3 linked regions of the Macaca mulatta genome follow. The protein of the gene in region 3 interacts with the protein of the main gene of each other region in a pairwise test. Links are inferred from orthologs where the notes say so. Each region holds a gene or a part of one and is shown on either strand. Other genes may lie near its edges.

The links.
Region 1: the proteins of PPP3CA (region 3) and C20H16orf74 interact in binary tests that used the Homo sapiens proteins (3 or more experiments, as listed by UniProt). The two-hybrid records come from large-scale screens. The link is inferred for Macaca mulatta from reciprocal best matches to the Homo sapiens genes PPP3CA and C16orf74.
Region 2: the proteins of PPP3CA (region 3) and AKAP5 interact in binary tests that used the Homo sapiens proteins (3 or more experiments, as listed by UniProt). The link is inferred for Macaca mulatta from reciprocal best matches to the Homo sapiens genes PPP3CA and AKAP5.

Annotation. Positions count from the first base shown.
Region 1 is NC_133425.1:81,095,245-81,099,508, reverse strand, and holds the start of C20H16orf74 (uncharacterized protein C16orf74 homolog), read left to right. Parts: upstream 1-1,366; 5' UTR 1,367-1,502; coding exon 1,503-1,704; intron 1,705-3,789; coding exon 3,790-3,848; 3' UTR 3,849-4,264.
Region 2 is NC_133412.1:137,562,952-137,566,190, forward strand, and holds the end of AKAP5 (A-kinase anchor protein 5), read left to right. Parts: 5' UTR 1-249; coding exon 250-1,533; 3' UTR 1,534-2,633; downstream 2,634-3,239. UniProt on the Homo sapiens protein: Multivalent scaffold protein that anchors the cAMP-dependent protein kinase/PKA to cytoskeletal and/or organelle-associated proteins, targeting the signal carried by cAMP to specific intracellular effectors.
Region 3 is NC_133410.1:110,350,212-110,354,535, forward strand, and holds the end of PPP3CA (protein phosphatase 3 catalytic subunit alpha), read right to left. Parts: intron 4,001-4,324; coding exon of another isoform or gene 3,971-4,000; intron 842-3,970; coding exon 645-841; 3' UTR 603-644; downstream 1-602. UniProt on the Homo sapiens protein: Calcium-dependent, calmodulin-stimulated protein phosphatase which plays an essential role in the transduction of intracellular Ca(2+)-mediated signals. Many of the substrates contain a PxIxIT motif and/or a LxVP motif.

The sequences.
Region 1 (4,264 bases), on a different chromosome or scaffold from region 3:
CTTAGGCTGGAGTGCAATGGTAGGATCTCAGCTCACTTCAACCTCTGCCTCCCAGGTTCAAGCAATTCTCTTGCCTCAGCCTCCTGAGTAACTGAGATTACAGGTGTGTGCCACCACGCCCAGCTAATTTTTGTATTTTAGTAGAGACGGGGGTTTCACCATGTTGGCCAGGCTGGTCTTGAACTCCTGACCTCAAGTGATCTGCCCACCTCGGCCTCCCAAAGTGCTGGGATTACAGGTGTAAACCACCATGCCCGGCCTTTTTTTTTTTTTTTTTTAGATGGATTCTTACTCTGTCACTTAGGCTGAAGTGCAATGGTGCAATCTCAACTCACTTCAACCTCTGCCTCCCAGGTTCAAGCGATTCTCCTGCCTCAGCCTCCCGAGTAGCTGGGATTACAGGCACACAACACCATGCCCAGCTAATTTTTTTATTTTTATTTTTAGTAGAGACAGGGTTTCTCCGTGTTGGTCAGGCTGGTCTTGAACTCCTGACCTTAGGTGATCTGCCCGCCTTGGCCTCCCAAAGTGCTGGGATTATAGTTGTAAGCCACTGCACCTGGCCTTTTTTTTTTTTTTTTTTTGATGGAGTCTCACTCTGTCACTTAGGTTAGAGTGCAATGGTGCGATCTCAGCTCACTTCAATCTCTGCCTCCCGGGTTCAAGTGATTCTCCTGCTTCAGCCTCCCGAGTAGCTGGGATTACAGGTGTGTGCTATCACGCCCAGCTAATTTTTGTATTTTAGTAGAGACGAGGTTTCACCATGTTGGCCAGGCTGGTCTTGAACTCCTTACCTCAAGTGATCTGCCCATCTCGGCCTCCCAAAGCGCTAGGATTATAGGCATGAGCCACCACCCAGCCCGCATTTAAAATTTAAAGCACTCCTACTTACTCTGTCTCGAGCATGTGCTGAGCTCAAGGGAAACACAGATGAATGAAGTAGAGACTGTCCTCCAGGTGTTCACAGCAAAGAGAGGTAGAAATAAAAACAAATCGTGTCATTCATTGATGAATGAGTAAACGCAGACAGGCAGAAGAGGGAGAGGCCAGATCTGCTGGGACACCTTTCCCAAGGAAGAGCCCGTTGCACCAGGCTTTGAAGGATAAGCAGGAGCTTGTTACTCAGGCAGAGGAAGAAAGAGCATCCCAGGCCGGGGGAACAGCATATGCAAAGGCACAAAAGGGCCCCGGGAGCCCAGGGAGTCTGGGGAAGTGTGAGCGCTTTGCAGAGTAGGGGCTGGTGGCCAGAAATGGGGCTGCAGCTGGCTGGGCCACATGGTGAAGGCTGAAAACTGGACCTAGAGGCCAACTAGCCTGTGATCAGCATTTCCCAAAATCTGTTTCCCGACTCATGGTTCTGGGAGATGTGTTGGGGGCTCCTTTGACATTCCTGAGACTCAGGTTTTCATCTGTGATGCGGGGACAGCTGCGCCCCTTGCTGCGAGGCGTCAGGACTCAGGTGATGAAGGGGGGGTGGCACCCGCGGTTCCTGGCGGCCACTGATGCCTGTCTCTCTGTTGTGTGTGTACGTGCGTGTGTGCTCCACGCCTGGCTTCTCAGGCTTTAAAATGTGTGTCAGCAGCAGCAGCAGCAGCCACGAAGAGGCCCCCGTCCTGAACGACAAGCACCTGGATGTGCCCGACATCATCATCACGCCCCCCACCCCCACAGGCATGATGCTGCCGAGGGACTCGGGGAACACAGGTGAGGCCGTCTCCTCTGCCGCCAAGCAGGGTCGGGTCTGGGGGCCTGGTGGCCTGGTGGAGACAGCTCTCAGGGGCGTCCTTCTGGGCCACGGGGCCGAGCTTGCGTCCCCACCTCCCCCTGGGTTCATTAAGCATTTATGGTCAGACCTGTGTACACTGCACCGTGAGCCCCCTGCCACGGCGCCAGCCTCAGCACGACGCGGCGTGTTAAGTAATTAGTAGACAGCCTCTGCCAGCAGCCAGTACGATTGATGGATGGGGCCGGGCTGGCCTGCCACACTGTGGCTCCCGCCAGCCAAGGTAATTGATGGATGCTCCTTCCCCTGCCAGCGGGAGGACCGCTCCTCCGTCTTGTTGGCTGCTGCAGTTTGGCTGGACAGGACAGACTGGGAAACACAGCCCATGCCCAGGCTGGGGCCGGACCCTGGGCCTTCCAGATGCAGCTCACTGCTGGGAGCAGGGAGGAAATAGAGTTCTTCCCAGGGAGAGGGTGAGGAGGTGGGACACAGGCCCAAATCGGCTCCCCCACCTGCCCCTCGGTGATACCTCTGGTGCTGGTGGGACAAATTGTTCACGTATTCATCGAGCAAAGATTTATTGAGCTGGGCCTACACCAGGTGCTGAAGGCTGCTGCTATGAATAATAATGATATTGGGGATGGTCATGATAGGTTGCACTGTACTGAGTGTAATGAGTGGATTTTCTTATTTAGTTCTTACAGGAATTCTCAGAGTTAAGTACAGATTTCATCCCCATTTTATTATTTGTATTTATTTATTTTTTGAGATGGAGTTTTGCTCTGTTGCTCAGGCTGGAGTGCTGTGGTGCAATCTCGGCTAACTGCAACCTCCATCTCCCTTGTTCAAGTGATTCTTCTGCCTCAGCCTCCTGAATAGCTAGGATTACAGGTGCCCACCACCATGCCCAGCTAATTTTTGTATTTTAGTAGATATGGGGTTTCGTCGTGTTGGTCAGGCTGGTTTCAAACTCCTGACCTCAGGTGATCCGCCTGCCTGGGCCTCCCAAAGTGATGGGATTACAGGCATGAGCCACCGCACCCAGCCGCATCCCCATTTTAGAAATGGGTAATCTGAGGTTGAGAGAGGCTGAGACACTTGCCGTGCAGCTGGTCAGTGGTGCAGCGGGGAAGCAGCCCCAGGCTGTGTGATCTGCACTTCACACCATGGCCCCCAGGCCGGATGCCCTCCCCACAGGTGGCATCAGTTAGTTGACAGCCATTGTGACGTGGGTCTCGCTGGGCCCATGTAAGCGACACGGCACCCATGAGGCTGATGTAGGGTACGTGGAAGGCTGTCTGGGAGGGGGGATCTGTAGACCCTTCCAGATGTCCTGAGCTTGGGTCTCCGCTTGCCCGGCAGAGCAAGTGACTGGGAGAAAGCTGTCAGGCCCCTCTGGGTTGGACCAGTGCAGGTGCTGGGTGGAGCCATGGTGGGTGCAGTGGGGTGCCTTCCTCTGTGACCTTTCCAAGTGCCTGGCACCAGGCTAAATGCTTTTCACAAATCTCATTTAATTCTCATTCCAACCCTTATCTCTAGTTTAGAAATGGGGAAACAAACAGGTCCAGAGAGGGACAGTGCCTTGCCCAGGGACACACAGCAAGGTGGGAGAAGAGCTGGGCTCCTGCTGCAGTGCTCCTCCTGCACCCCAGTGCTGTCTAATCAGAGAGCCCAGTGTGGGCGGACAGAGGCCCAGGTCCTTAGCTCAGCTGTCACAGTCTCTTCCCTCTCTGAGCCTGTGTCCTCACCTATAAAATGGGATCATGCCACTTTGCCTGCTTCCAGGACCAGTGTGGGCAGAGGGGAGACACAGGGTTACTCTGCAGGGTCCGAGCCCTAGGGAGGTTCCTGAACCCTGGGAGGAGTTCCTCTGAAACTTAAGCAGCTCCGGGATCCGACTCACCCAGAAGGATCCAGCATCACTGGGCTGGGTCCCATCTCTGCCTCTGGCAGCACCAGAAAGCAAGGAATCCCAGAGGCCTCAGCCCTGCAGCTCCCAGGGAAGCGGGCCTGGGTGTGGTGGGGGCGGGGTGCATCCAGGTGTCACCATCCCCTCTTTCTCCTAGTCTGGTTGGATGAGACAGGGTCGTGCCCGGATGATGGAGAACTCGACCCAGAAGCCTGAGGAGGTGTCGTGGATTTGTCTGGTGGGCTCCTGCTGCGGGGTCCCAGCTTCAGGTGTCCGGGGGCGTGGCTGCCTGGAGCAGGTGTGCTGAATACCTTGGATGGGAACTGAGCGAATCTGGGTCTCCGCTGGGAGAGATGTGGCAGGACCAGCGAGGAATCCAGCCTGCCTGCTTCCGGAACAGTGTTTCCCGACCCTGCTGAGTGGACTGGACCTCTGACACCTCCAGGGTCTTGCTGACTCCAGCCTGGTGCAAGGGAGCTCCATGGTCCTGGCTGTTGGGGTCCCAGGGAGAGGCTCTCTTCAGGACAAACACACCTTCCCAGCCCCACGGGCTGTGCAAATACGTGCCCCTGCCATAAGCACAAACAAGAACTTCTTGCAGGTGGAGTGGCTGTTTTTTTTTTTGTTTTTTT
Region 2 (3,239 bases), on a different chromosome or scaffold from region 3:
AAAGCAAAAATTTATTCAAGAAAGGGCTTTCATCAAGAAATTAAAGAGAGAAATTACAAGCAATAGAGAAACTGGGCATTTCTATACTAGAGAAACCACCTAAAACAACTGTATGGAGTAAGATGAAAGGTATGAATATGCCTGGATGAAATTTTACCTAGTGTGACATTTTTGCCCATCTTTTTGTCACAAAAGGCTGCTAAGGAAGAGAGAATATAGTTTTCTAGAGAATAAGAGTACAGTGTAAAAATGGAAACCACAGTTTCAGAAATTCATGTAGAAAACAAGGATGAGAAGAGATCAGCAGAAGGTAGTCCTGGGGCTGAAAGACAGAAGGAAAAGGCATCCATGCTTTGCTTCAAGAGAAGAAAGAAAGCAGCTAAAGCACTGAAGCCCAAAGTTGGCTCTGAAGCTGCTGATGTGGCAAGGAAGTGTCCCCAAGAAGCAGGAGCTTCTGATCAGCCAGAGCCCCCACGGGGGGCCTGGGCCTCACTCAAACGTCTTGTAACACGCAGGAAAAGGTCAGAGTCTTCAAAGCAGCAAAAGTTATTGGAGGCTGAAGTGCAACCTGCAATAAACACTGAGGATGCTGATCTTTCTAAGAAAAAGGCAAAATCTAGACTTAAGATTCCCTGCATAAAATTCCCAAGAGGGCCAAAAAGGAGTAATCATTCCAAAATTATAGAAGACTCAGACTGCAGCATCAAAGTCCAGGAAGAAGCTGAAATTTTGGATATACAAACACAGACCCCATTGAATGATCAGGCAACAAAGGCTAAGTCAACCCAGGATCTAAGTGAAGGCATCTCACGGAAAGATGGTGATGAAGTCTGTGAATCAAATGTGAGCAATAGCATAACTTCTGGAGAGAAAGTGATTTCAGTAGAACTTGGATTAGATGATGGGCATTCTGCTATTCAAACGGGAACTCTAATCCTTGAAGAAATTGAAACGGTCAAGGAAAAACAAGATGTTCAACCCCAGCAAGCAGGCCCACTTGAAACTTCAGAAACAGACCATCAGCAAACAGTACTTTCTGATGTTCCACCTTTACCTGCAATCCCAGCTCAACAAATTATGGAAGAAGCCAGTAACAATATCCTAAAAAGTGCACCAAATGGGAAAGACTATGAAAGTAGAGAGATTGTAGCTGAAGAAACTAAGCCAAAAGATACTGAATTGAGCCAAGAATCAGATTTTAAAGAAAATGGGATCACTGAAGAGAAGTCCAAATTAGAAGAAAGCAAACGAATAGAGCCCATTGCTATTATTATTACAGACACTGAAATCAGTGAATTTGATGTTAAGAAATCAAAAAATGTCCCTAAGCAATTCTTAATTTCAACTGAAAATGAGCAAGTAGGGGTTTTTGCTAATGATAATGGTTTTGAGGATAGAACTTCAGAACAATATGAAACACTCTTAATTGAAACAGCCTCTTCTCTTGTCAAGAATGCTATTCAGTTGTCAGTAGAACAGCTGGTTAATGAAATGGCCTCTGATGATAATAAAATAAACAATCTTCTACAGTGACTTACTCTCCAGAGTCATGGCAGGAAAAATAAGCTTAATGAAGAATTCTTTTATACATTTGTGGCATTTCTTACTCAGTAACAAATGAGAGATTTATCATCTCTAGAACTTAAAAGGTACAATTCCAGCGTAGAAGTGCTAAAGATTAAGTCAAGTTTATAAAACTCTACCACTGAAATGCAGTCACTTCTGGATTGGAGGAAGTCAGCACAGATTGCAGTATAAAGTGACATAACATACAGGGAGTTGCTAAAACGGCATATGGAGATTGGAGTGCTTTGGGGGAGGAAGATGTATTTATTGAGCACTTATGGTATGCCATAAGCTTTTTAATGACCTCTGATATAACAAAGTCTGGTTTCCTTTTGATAATTCAGCTGTGTATAGGCTAACATCACATTGAGTTTTTAAAAACTTATTTTTACAGTGCACATATATGTTGTTTAAAATGGTGAATAAGGTGAGCTACTTTTGTGAATGTGATTTGTAATTGTTACATTCCTAAGCAGTAGGCTTAACTCAAAAAATACATTGCATTTTCCCAATTTCAGCAGATAGTGTGCAGAATACGCATATTGAAATTAAACGTGAGTGGTTTTCTAGTCTTAAGTCCCTTATAAGAGCTATTTGGCCGGGTGTGGTGGCTCACACCTATAATCCCAGCACTTTGGAGGCCAAGGAGGGTGGATCAGCTAAGATCAGGAGTTTGAGACCAGCCTGGCCAATGTGGTGAAACCCCGTCTCTACTGAAAATACAAAAATTAGCTGGGCGTGGTGGCGTGCGCCTGTAATCCCAGCTACTTGGGAGGCTGAGGCAGGGGAATTGCTTGAACCCGAAAGGTGGAGGTTGCAGTGAGCCAAAATTGCACCACTGCACTCCAGTCTGGACACCAGAGCAAGACTCCATCTCAAAAAAGAAAAAAAAAAAAAGGAGAACCATTCACAAATCCTTCAATCAGGCAAACTGTTACTAAGTGCAAAAGTGTAGAAAAAGGAGTGGGTTTTTCCCTCTCTTCTTTCTGCCTCAACAGATCTGTATATATCCATTTCTGCATGGATTTATCTGTGAAAAGTTAAAAAACGAAACAGCAAAAACAAAACAAGTGGAATATTCTTCTTCATCCAGAAGAAGGGAAAATTCCCAATTAAATTATCATAGATAATATAGGATTCATCTTGCAGAATTACTTCTTTAAGAGCCATATTCATCAACCTCTCTCCAAAGAGGCGAGAGTAGATTCAAAGCCAGGCTGGTAGTAATGGTCCTGGAAAATCCTAATAATCTAGTGCAAATATTATTTATTTTTGGCCAAAAATGAGCCATGAATGTGGGTGAATAGAAAGTGAAAAGTTAAAGCACATTATAATTTAAATGTCAATATTACTTCCTGTCTGTGTGTTGAGAGAAACCAGTAAAAATCATTTTACATGGATATTGACAATTAACTTTTTCATCACTATTTTCCTTTCTTTTCTTTTTTTGAGACGGCGTCTTGCTGTCACCCAGGCTGGAGTGCAGTGGCGCGATCTCGGCTCACTGCAAGCTCCACCTTCTGGGTTCATGACATTCTCCTGCCTCAGCCTCCCAAGTAGCTGGGACTACAGGCGCCTACTACCACGCTAGGCTAATTTTTTGTATTTTTAGTAGAGACGGGGTTTCACCCTGTTAGCCAGGATGGTCTCGATCTCCTGACCTCGTGATCCTC
Region 3 (4,324 bases):
TGAGGTAAGCATAATCTGTACAAAATTAAACTGTCCTTTTTGGCATTTTAACAAATTTGCAACGTTCTTTTTTTTTCTTTTTCTTTTTTTTTTTTTTTTTAAGACTGCCTAATTCAGTTTATAGCCATTGTCTGACAAGAGTAGCAAAACATTATCAATAAATAGTCCTTAGTTTGTACATCATTTTGTTAAAAATGTTTGATGTCATCCATTTTTAGTGCTGCGACTGTAAACGTACAATAGAATAAGAAATTAGACAAAGTTTTTCATGTCCAGTAACAGAATAAAAGGCCTTTCATTAACCTATCTAGAAGTCCCCAACGCAGTAGGAAAACATGTTCATTCCCCTAACATTGCAGTATATACTAGCATTAGCTTTCTTTTTAAAATTTTTTTTCTCTATAAGCATTTTTAAAAGGCATACCCCAAAGAGGTGTTTAATCACCACCCCCACCAAAATATAGTTTATTATCTCTCTCCCTCTTTTTTAATGATAGTGTAAACTGAATCCAATTCCTGGCCCCCAGAGCAAATAAGCTACTGTCAGAGGCAAGAACATCCAACTGCTGATATGCAGCAATCCCCATCATGCCCTGCAGCTCAAAAAAAAAAAAAAAAAAAAAAAAAAAGTGAACAGGAAGTGGTCACTGAATATTGCTGCTATTACTGCCATTGCTGTCCGTGCCGTTAGTCTCTGAGGTGAGAGCCTTGTTGATGGAGTTAAGGTTGGCGTCAGAGGGCATGGCATCTCTGCGAGGCGGCATCCTCTCATTAATTCGGTCTAAGCCCTTGGCTTCCTCGAAGCTAGTGATCTTATGTTGTGGTGAAAATCCTTTGATAGCTAAACAGAAAATCATTAAAAAGAGAAAAACAGGATTATCCAAAGGAAAACAAAAGGCACAGCTGTTGCAGCAGGTGATGTTAGAGATTTCTCAGTGAGAGGGAATCCTTCAGTGAAGAACAAAGTGACGGGACCTGCACACCACACAACAGACTCCTTACCATACTCGGAGGTAACCAAAGGTTTGAAAACAGCCAATGTCTCTTGCCAACCAAAATGTCCTCTTGAAGTTATTAAGATGTAAACATTTCTCCTGTCTTCATGAAAGTTTAGATCAAAGAAATTCAAAGTGGACACGTAAAGAGGAAAGCTGCTTTCAGGGACAAGCCTCTAGAACCAGCATCAACTGGCCACATCATTAGCATGATTACTGCATCAAACACCTTAATCTAGACAGGCTGCAGCATGTCCCTCTTTGTATTCTTCCATTGTGCTAGGTAATGGCAAATTCAGTGGAATCAGTATGTCTGCTATACCTAAAAACCTAGTAAAGGGCTTAAAGCAGGAGCTAAAAGGAGCTAGAAAAGGAATTAACTAGGGCATTTCCATGCCATCTCAGAATCCCAGAAAGAACTTCTTGACAAACAACTCAATGATGGCATGAAAAAAAACGAAATTATAAACTCCTGTTTCTCCACTCAACTTTGGAAGCATGTGGAGTGAGTGACAAGGTAAGAGAAACTCAAAAAAAATCAAGGTAAGATCACTAGGTAGAAACGTATTATCTGCCCTTCAGCAGCGAACAGGTCAAACTGATGTTCATCTGGTATCCATTACTGCCTAAATGAAAGAAAAACTCAGTAGATCAACGTAATGTAAGTGATGGTTAAATTATAACAAGGAAAAAATGCCTTTCACAATATTTAGCAAAAATGAATTGAACTGGTTTTGGTCCTATTCAATTAAAACACGGAATCTCAAAGTGGGAATGATACTTGATTTTTTAAAAAAGTAATCTTTAGTGTGCTACAGAGATGGGTAAGGCATTTGTACAAAAATCTTAATGATTTCTTCAGTGAGTACACCAACTGGTGAGCTGCAAATAAAACACATAAATGGGGAACCAATGACATCAGTTTGCTTTACTCCCTGTGAAGTGCAAGCCAGATATTTCAGGGCCAATCACCAATGCTCAATTGGGCTGCATCACCATGGCTGATTAAGGATAATTTCATGGTACCTTTATCCTCCCAATCTTATTTGGGGGAGAAAAAAAAAAAAAAAGAAAGCAGTTTCAAGCTGAAATTTACCAGTCACTCCTACGCAAATGTGCAGTGCCTTTTATTAGTATGGATGAGATTCCTAAAAGATATACACAGTCGTTTCAATACTCATTAAACGATAAGAAACAAGTTTCCCCCCCCTCTGCATTTTAAAGGTTAGCATAATGGTGATTAGTCAACTGTGAGAGGAATAAGATGGGGAAATGGGGAAAGACCAAGGCCCAAAGCAAAGCTTGTTAATTCTTCTCTAATTTAGTAATAAATTGCAAAATAATAGAGCTGTCTAACGAGCACCCACCCTGAAAACTAACTCAATTATTTTGATGTACAAAAGAATGGCACGAAGTGGTACTCTACTGGTTTTTTTTTTTTTTTTCAGACTACTGTGAATATAATTTCATCATAATTAACAGGTATAAAAGTTTGTCATCATTATCATTTATGAAATGATTTAATTAATTTAAATGATAAAAGTGAAATTTCTAGGTTTTAAAAGCCAATAGGGTGGGAGTGTCAAAATTAAAAATCTAGCGAGAACAATGGATACTTCTGGAATGGGGCTCCATTTCTAATCATTTTTGTCCATCCTGGTATGGAAGAATGTGCTCTGCTGTAGTTGCTGGTCAGACAATGGGTATTAGCAATTTACATTGGTAGTATACTTAACACAACACAGAGTCACAGAAACCACAGAAAACAGCCAAACTATCAACAAGAATGCACACTGCAGATTAGAATTTGCCAAGAGGAATAGAGAATTCCCACATAAATAGCAGTTTATTCACTGCTATTTAGGAAGCAGTTGTATTTTCTCTTACAGTGCTATTGTTTCCCCTACCATACCCAAATCATGTACAAATTGGAAGAGTCTAAAGTGGCACTTTTTATATCATACCAAAGGACCATATATGCACATAATTTTGAGAAAAACAAAAAAAATACCTTGCAAGAACAAAATACAACTGAAGAATTTTGTTTTAAAGGGGAACTTCAAATTATTATTTTTGAAATTTCCAAAGGATATGGTATGTATATTATTAACAACTATTTTGATTATGCACTTCTCTTATAACTATATATTTAAAAAGCAGTCAAGTAAAAAGCAATTACTAAAGGGTCAACTCTACTGTCCTTGAGTAGTGCTAGGACACAGCTGGAGATGGACACTTCTTTATTTCCCCTGCAGCTCCTAGTACTGTGCCTGGCACAAAGCAGACACTCAGTATACATTCATCAATTGAGTGTTACTTGATACTTGCTATTCTTGTTATTGGCCACTTACATAGCCACTAGATGCTTTTGAACTTTTTATAATATTTAGATGGTGTTAATTCTCATACAAATACCAGTAGGTTAAAATTTGATTTAAGATTACCAGAACTGTTCATCTCATGCACAGCTGTCTCATGTTGGAATATTTTTTAGAGACATAAATTAATGTTGAACTACAACAAAGCACTATTTAAATGAACATTTTTTTCCTTTGGCTACAAACTTCTGAAGACTAGAATTAAGATGGCTATTTTTATTATCTTCAGTGCTGCCTGAAAGTGATTTGAGGGAGGGACATGGTTCAGCTCAAAGATTATTGTTTTATAAGCTACTGGTCAAAACAGCTGCCATAACCCCCACCCCACATCATTCAAAATATATAATCCTTTTGTTTTCTGTGATTCTATTATTCATCATATACAAAAGTCAAACATAGCTTTAAGGGAAAGAAACAAACAAACAAACCATAGAAGGACATTTTCCCCTTTAAAGCAAGAACACTTTGGTTAATACTGAGCCACAACTGTTAGCTCAACACCCACACACTCTGTACAAGCTACAGCAAAAAAATGAATACACCCAGCAGAGCCCTTATCTGTTGCAGGTACAACAGAAAGGGGACTGGCCAATTTACCTTCATCAGCCTCAATAGCCTCAACAGTAGCTGAAGAGAAGAAAGGGGGTGCAAAATGAATGAGAAAAATGAGCAGAGGATTTTTTAACTCTAAGAACAAATCAGTGACCATCAAAGGAGCTAAGAGAACTAATGTTCCTGTAAGTGCTAGATTCTGGCACAGACAACAAAACAGAAATGCTAAAAAGAAAGAAAAAAAAAAAGCCACAGAAATTATAAATTTAATTTATGAGCTGGATACACCTATCTGAATTAAATGCTTTGGTTTTTGCCCACTAAATAAATAACAAACAATCAACCCTTTAGGAAAACACTTAGGAAAATTTCTTTTACATGGACTGAATTATAAGAGAT